Linked DNA regions of Callithrix jacchus. The protein of the gene in region 1 binds, or shares a complex with, the protein of each later gene. Links are inferred from orthologs where the notes say so. Each region holds a gene or a part of one and is shown in the gene's direction. Other genes may lie near its edges.

The links.
Region 2: GINS1 (region 1) and MCM7 share a complex: the UniProt entries of both Homo sapiens proteins name them as parts of the CMG helicase complex. The link is inferred for Callithrix jacchus from reciprocal best matches to the Homo sapiens genes GINS1 and MCM7.

Annotation. Positions count from the first base shown.
Region 1 is NC_133506.1:32,101,788-32,105,530, forward strand, and holds the start of GINS1 (DNA replication complex GINS protein PSF1), read left to right. Parts: upstream 1-1,424; 5' UTR 1,425-1,446; coding exon 1,447-1,572; intron 1,573-3,743. Other genes in the region: lysophosphatidylserine lipase ABHD12, read right to left, coding at 1,007-1,197. UniProt on the Homo sapiens protein: Required for correct functioning of the GINS complex, a complex that plays an essential role in the initiation of DNA replication, and progression of DNA replication forks.
Region 2 is NC_133503.1:13,482,974-13,486,716, forward strand, and holds the start of MCM7 (DNA replication licensing factor MCM7), read left to right. Parts: upstream 1-1,290; 5' UTR 1,291-1,387; coding exon 1,388-1,418; intron 1,419-1,666; exon of another isoform or gene 1,667-1,845; intron 1,846-2,141; exon of another isoform or gene 2,142-2,457; intron 2,458-2,596; coding exon 2,597-2,676; intron 2,677-2,991; coding exon 2,992-3,156; exon of another isoform or gene 3,157-3,160; intron 3,161-3,327; coding exon 3,328-3,452; intron 3,453-3,532; coding exon 3,533-3,713; intron 3,714-3,743. Other genes in the region: AP4M1 (AP-4 complex subunit mu-1), read right to left, coding at 1-11, 713-801, 909-966. UniProt on the Homo sapiens protein: Acts as a component of the MCM2-7 complex (MCM complex) which is the replicative helicase essential for 'once per cell cycle' DNA replication initiation and elongation in eukaryotic cells.

The DNA of each region.
Region 1 (3,743 bases):
TTACACTTAAGTGGCCAGCGTCAACTATGGGCATTCCAGATGGTCAAAAAAGAAATGACTGCTACTACGCCCGAGATCATCATATAATAACTTCTTGAAACAACCACAAAATACCAAAGCTTCAAAAACAGCCAGATAATTAGGAAACCAGCAGATGGGAGAAATCTGTCTGTACGAAACATGTTCCCATCTCAGTTTTCAAAGTGGCTTTATATAAACGCATTCATCTCCTACCCAAAAGAACACCAATAATCAAACGACTCAGCACTGCAAGGTGATCCCCAAGGAAGCGAACTTGTGCAGACAGATTTCAAACGCCAGGAACCACCAGCAAAGCGAACAGGTTCCCCTCTGACGGCTGCGATGCTCCATGTCCTTCCTTCCCCTAGTACCCCGCGGCCCACTGAGCCCTTCCCCAAAAGTCCCCCACTTCTGAGCGGCGCACGCCCCCGACCGTAGTTACAGGGGAGAGCCGCCGAGCGCCCAGGGCGCCAGTAAAGCTCTGCGCACGCAGCCCGACCGGAGGGGCGAGCGTCTGGGAGCTCGGTTTGGGGCCGGATGCAGAGGAGGAGGATGTCCGAGACGGCCCCAGCGCTCTCAGGGTCTGGCGCCCGCCCCTCCGCCTCCCGCCACTGCGGTGCCCGGCATCCAGGGACCTCCCAAGGACTCCCCGCCCCCTACCCTGGGTCAAGACTTGGGGCGGCGCCAAACCCCCAGCGGAAGAATTCCCTTGGGTACCCCGGGAAAGGGTCGCGGTGCAAGGCTGGGCTGGGAGTGCAGGACGCGACGGCGGCAGGAGGACGTGGGGGGTCGGAGCAGGGCGTTCTCACCGCAGGGCCTGGGGAAGGGAGCGGGGGTGGGGCCGCCGCGGACCAGATGCGGGACAGAACAGGGACGGCTGCTGGGGCTGGCGGCCACCCTGGGAAGGGCTGGGAGATGCGAGGAGGCCCCCAGCGGGACACACCTGCGCCGGTGAGGGGCCCGCCCGCCCCGAGCGAAGCCTTACCTGCCCAGCGCCCGCTTCATTCCAGCGTCAGCTGCGCAGCGCGGCTCGGCCGGCCCGGTGCCGGTCAGGCGCAGGTTCTGCTTCAGACGGCAGTCGGCGTCCAGCGCCGCGGCGGCCGAGCCGGAGGAGGACGAGCCCGCGGCGGCGCAGCGCTCATGCTCCAAGGCGACGGGCTCGGTCCGCTTCCTCATCCCGCGACCGACACGGTCGGCCGCCGACGGCGCCCGCTGTCCTCGCCCGCCGCCTACGCCGCTCACAGCCGCCGGCACCCGGAGCCGGGACACAGGAGCCCGCCGCTTCTCACATCCTAGCCCAGGCCTCGGCGCAGGGCGGCCACGCTGGCCAATCAGCGTCGGGCTCCCGCCGGCCCCGCCCCCCCCGCCACCGCCTCCCTGGTTCCGAGGGGCGCGCGCCCAGCATCCCCGGCGCCACCCGCAGCCATGTTGCGGAAGGGCGGGCAAAGCCGAAGCGGCGCGTCATCGCCAGGGCAGGGCTCTGTGCTCCTTAGCGGGACTGCGGCTGCCCTCGCCCGGGCGCTGGGCGCTTCTGCGAACGGAAACCCACAGGTAGCAAGTCGCAGTTGTGTTCTTGTGATTCCTAACTCTTTTCCCACAAGGACTTTGCATTTAAAAGTATGCTTTCTAGTCATCAATGTTTAATTTGAAGCAAATGTATATAGATACTCAGTTTTCACCTTTGGGCTGAACACCGGGGAAATGAACTGCTTGAGAAATTTACTTTTTAAAAACCTGTATTAGGTAATAGTTTTTGTTTGTTTTTTTGCTTTTTTAGAGACAGGGTTTCACCCATGGTGGACAGGGTGGTCTCGATCTCTTGACCTCATGATCCGCCGGCCTCCGCCTTCCAAAGTGCTGGGAATTACAGGCGTGAGCCACCGCGCCCGGCCTAGATTTTTGATTTTTATAAAGAAATAAAGGGCCGGACGCGGTGGCTCACGCCTATAATCCCAGCACTTTGGGAGGCCGAGGCAGGTGGATCACGAGGTCAAGAGATCGAGACCATCCTGGTCAACATGGTGAAACCCCGTCTCTACTAAAAATACAAAAATTAGCTGGGCATGGTGGCACCCACCTGTAGACCCAGCTACTGGGGAGGCTGAGGCAGGAGAATTGCTTGAACCCAGGAGGCGGAGGTTGCGGTGAGCCGAGATTGCGCCATTGCACTCCAGTTGGGGTAAAAAGAGCGAAACTCTGTCTCAAAAAAAAAGAAAAGAAAAGAAATTAAGACTAACTGATGGGAGGAAAATCCATTTCAGAGATAAATTCGCCCTCCTGAAACCCAAATTAAGTACTAATTCAACCCATCCTAAAAAGAGAAAAGGAAAGAAAGGGCAGTTTCACGAATTTCGTTTTATAACTTTGGCCTTTAATACGGCATTACTTTTGCAGATGATCTACAACCAAGAGAAATATTTGCTTACTTGTTCCGAAGTAACTTTGGAAATTTTAATATTTGTCACTTTAAAAACTATTGGCAACTGATAATTTAAGATCAATTGGAAATGCATGTAGAAATTCAACAGCTTTTTATATTAGCTTTGTAATGATACTTTGAAATTACAAAAGAATTTATTGACCGTATTACTAAATACCACAGCCTGCATTCATAATTGTGGCAGTATCTCCACATACACTTTTTAAAAACATTGTGGGGGGGGGGGTTTGTGGCTCATGCCTGTAATCTCAGCACTTTGGGAGGCCAAGGTGGGCAGATCACTTGAGGTCAGGAATTCGAGACCAGCCTGGCCAACATGGTGAAACCCGCGTCTTTACTAAAAATACAAAGATTAGCAGGTATAGTGGCACACGCTTGTAGTCCCAGCTACTTGGGAGGCTGAGGCAGGAGAATTCCTTGAACCTGGGAGGTAGAGATTGTAGTGAGCTGAGATCGCACCAGTGCAGAGAGCCTGGACGACAAAGCAAAACTTATTTTTTTGTTTTTGTTTAAAAAAAAAAAAGGCCAGGCATGGTGGCTCACACCTGTAGTCCCAGCACTTTTGGAGTTTGAGGCGTGCAGAACAAGATGTCAGGAGGGCGGGGTGCAATGGCGCATACCTGAAATCCCAGCACTTTGGGAGGCTGAGGCGGGTGGATCACCTGAGAACGGGAGTTCAAGACCAGCCTGACCAACATGGAGAAATCCTGTCTCTACTAAAAATATAAAATTAGCCAGGTGTGGTGGCACATGCCTGTAATCACAGCTACTCATGAGGCTGAGGCAGTCAGGAGGATCGCTTGAACCAAGGAGACAGAGGTTGCAGTGAACTGAGAATGCACCACTGCACTACAGCCTGGAGTGAAACTCTGCCTAAAAAAAAAAAAAAAAAAAAAAGAGAGGGGGTCAGGAGAGCGAAACTAGCCAACATGGTAAACCCCCTCTGTACTAAAAATACAAAAATTAGCTGGGGGTGGTGATGTGTGCCTGTAATCCCAGCTACTTAGGAGGCTGAGGCAGGAGAATTGTTTGAACCAGGGAGTTGGAGGTTGTAGTAAGTGGAGATCACGCCACTGTACTCCAGCCTGGTGACAGAGACTCCGTCTCAAAAACAAACAAACAAACAGAAATTAGGCATGGTGGTGCACAGGCCTGTAATCCTGACTACTTGGGAGGCTGAGGCAGGAGAATTGCTTGAACCCGGGATGCTGGGATTTGGAGGTTGCAGTGAGCTGAGATCATGCCACTGCACTCCACCCTGGGTGACAGAGTAAAACTCCGT
Region 2 (3,743 bases), on another chromosome or scaffold:
CCCTCGTGATGCTGAGACACAGGCAGGTAGAGTAGCATTAGGAAAAAGGAGCTGGGGTGATCAGAACCCAGGAGACCTGAGCTCGGATCCCGATGCCTCTTACTAGTCACAGTAGCAGTGACTTCGGGAGATACATGACAGGTTCCTGAACCCAGCTTCCCAATGTGGAAACGGGGTTAATTACAGTAGCTACACCTAGTTGCTGAGGATGGAGTCATAAAGGGAGCTGGGCCTGGTGTTTTGCTGCCACCTGATGTAAGTTTTTTTTGTCCCAACGTCCCCCCCCCCCCGACCCCTGCCCGATGTAGTCTTGCTCTGTCACCCAAGCTGGAGTGCAGTGTGGCGATCTCGGCTCACTGCAGCCTCTGCCTCACGGGTTCAAGCGAGTCTCCTGGCTCAGCCTCCCTAGTAGCTGGGATTACAGGCGCTCACCACTAGGCCTGGCTAATTTTTTTGTATTTTTAGTAGAGGCGGGGGTTTCACCAGGTTGGCCAGGCTGGTTTCGAACTCCTGACCTCAGGTGATCCGCCCCCCTCGGCCTCCCAAAGTGCTGGGATTACAGGCATGAGACACCGGGCCTCTTGTTAGTTTTATATGGAAGAATGCACCCCATCCCAAGTGGAAGCTACCAAGGAATCAGCCCTGGGAGGGAGCCGGCGGGCCAGGTGGGCGCCGGCTCCCTGCTCCCCACCCGCCTCCCGCCAGTGGTTACCATGACAACCGGGGACTCGTCTCCTGGCAGTCCCGTCAGCTTCCGGTAGAAGAGCTCGGCCACATCCCGGCCGCCACTGTCCCCACGGACTGGCGGGTGGAAGAACTCAGTGAAGAAGCCTGCGACACGGGCTGGCCCCGGGCGCCCCTCCCGCCCGACACCTCCGCCCCTTCCCAGCCCCGCGGGTCTAGGATACAGTCTTTGTAGATGAGCGGGTCCCCCTTGGAGGACAGAATGAAGAACTGGGAAATCATGGCCGTTCTGGAGAGTAAACGAGAAGACGGCGAAAGTTGGGCCTGCCCCGCCCTGAGGCCCCGGAACAAAGGAACACGCGTGCGCTGGCCCTTTAAGAGCGATTCTGCTCCGCCTAAGCCAGCTCGGACCGCGGGAAACCAGACGCCCGCCCAGCCTAGCTCGGCGATTCCCTCCCGACGCCCACACCGCCTCCCCGTCACTCATTCCAGGTCCTCCTGGTGATTGGCTTGAGGCTAGCTGGAGGCGGGGAGAGGGCCGGCCTCTGCAATTGGCCGGCAGGCAGTGGCGCCGGTCACGTGGGGGCGACGTTTCGCGCCAATTTCGGTTGGTCAGCCACAGTCCACCGCGCGGACGTTCTCCGCTTGCCCGGGACCCAGACCTCTGAGTCCGCCAAGCGCTGCCGTACGGGCCTCGGTAGTGATGGCACTGAAGGACTACGCGATCGAGAAAGGTACTGCTCTACGAGCCTGGGAGGGCGTCCTGCGCGGGGAGCCTCCCGGGGAACACCTATTGGTGTGAGCTGGGGTCTTGTGGAGCCGGGATCAGCAAGTTCTGGGGACCACAAGGCTAGAGGCAGGGTCGGGCGGCCGCCCGGCTGAGGCCCACGAGGCGCAGGTGGCATCCATGTTGAAGAAAAGCTGGTAATCCCACGTAGTAAAGGTGTTAGGGTCATGGAGTTGGGGGCTTGGGGGCGCTAACCTGGCTGGGGGGGTGCTGCATAGGGGAGAATCGCGCCCAAGACCTCGGAGTACCCTAAGGACTCTGGGGTTCCGGGCCTGCTTTCCTCCGCGCTTTTGGGCATTCCCCAGTTCCCGCGTCCTCCCGAGGCGCGCGGAGGCCCTGGGGGCGGGCAGGCCGGGCCGCTACGCACCAGGATTGGCCGTTTGAGGCCGCCCTCCAAGCGGAAGTGGAGCCGGGCGGAAGTGGCGCGACGCGGATGGAGGGAGTGTCGTGTAAACAGTGTCCTTCCGCGCAGCGGCCTCGGAGAGAGCTGTGGCCCAGGGGAGGGGGCGTGCCTGGGAACCGGGAGCTTCGCTCGTGCCCCGGAAAGGCGGTAGTGGGCTGGGATCGCGGCGGCCCCAGGCGTGTTGTCCAATGGCTGGATGGGCTCCCGCCCTGGGCGGAGGAATCCCGGGCTGTGAGGCGGCTGGAATCCGGTCCCATGTGCTTCTTTGTTTACTAAGAGCGGAAGCGCTGGCGGGAGCGGGGGTGGGGTGCGCGACCCGCCTGATGGCGGAGGTCCTGGCGAGATCAGGGGCTCAGGGGCCCAAAGAAGGTGGGGGATCATAGGGGTGGAAGGAAGGCTGAGAACCTTGAGATCGGAGTGTGGGGCGCCGATGAGGAAGGGCGCTAGGGTTTTAAAGTAGGGACCGGAATTCCCCTGGGAAGACGATGTTGGATCATCCTGTGAACTGCCACGACCTCTTTATTCTTCGCTGATTAAAAACAAACTTGTGAAAAAGAGTTATACCCATTTTGGGGAGAATTCGGTAGGTTTATTTAAATGCTCATATCGTTAACTAGTTCATAAATCGTGTTTTAAGTGAAAATAGGCGTCTTAGATTTCTGTCAGAGGGATGGGCAGTAATATAAAGTTTGTGTCTTATGATTTTACCTTTTACGTTACAGAAAAGGTTAAGAAGTTCTTACAAGAGTTCTACCAGGATGATGAACTTGGGAAGAAGCAGTTCAAGTATGGGAACCAATTGGTGAGTCTAAGATTGGGTAAAGAGAATGAGGAGTCGGGTTTTAAGAAGTCCTAAGAAGCGGCTTGTTTCATCAAGGATGTTTTTCTGACATGTTTATCAGGGCATTTGATATCTGGTAAGAGAATGTGATGCTATAGTATTTTCATAATAATTAGAGAGTTTGGGGGCTGAGAAGTGAGTGTGCTCTCTGAGGTGCTATGTTCTCCCCTGTGGATGCCCAGAGCCCGTGCTGAGCTCTCAGTGATGCATCTTCACACGTGAACACTGAACAAGTGAACATGGCTCTGAGGTGTTGCTGTCTCTTTCCCACCTGAGGTTCGGCTGGCTCATAGGGAACAGGTGGCTCTGTACGTGGACCTGGATGATGTAGCTGAGGATGACCCTGAGTTGGTGGACTCAATTTGTGAGAATGCCAGGCGCTACGCAAAGCTGTTTGCTGATGCGGTACAAGAGCTGCTGCCTCAGTACAAGGAGAGGGAGGTGAGTGACTGGAGAACAATGCAGGGCAAGGCGTTTCAGCTTCTGTTAAGAAGCTTCTCAGATACTGATGTTTTCGGAGCCAGGCAGAAAGCAGGGGCACTTCTGCCTGGCATTGTCTGTGCTCTCCTTTCCCCATCCTGTTACTCATTTTTTTCTGCTCTTCTCCTTTAGGTGGTAAATAAAGATGTCCTGGATGTTTATATTGAACATCGGCTTATGATGGAGCAGCGGACTCGGGACCCTGGGATGGCCCGAAGCCCCCAGAACCAGTATCCCGCTGAACTCATGCGCAGATTGTGAGTGGTCTCTGTTGGGAAGGATGTAGGGATTGGTTTGTGACTCCAGGATCTTGTTTGTGACTGTTTTCTCCTCTTAGTGAGCTGTATTTTCAAGGCCCAAGCAGCAACAAGCCTCGTGTGATCCGGGATGTGCGAGCTGACTCTGTGGGGAAATTGGTGACTGTGCGTGGAATCGTCACCCGTGTCTCTGAAGTCAAACCCAAGATGGTAGTGGCCACTTACACTTGTGACCAGTGCGGGGCAGAGACCTACCAGCCGGTACGTGTGGAGGAAGGAGCAGGAAAGCAC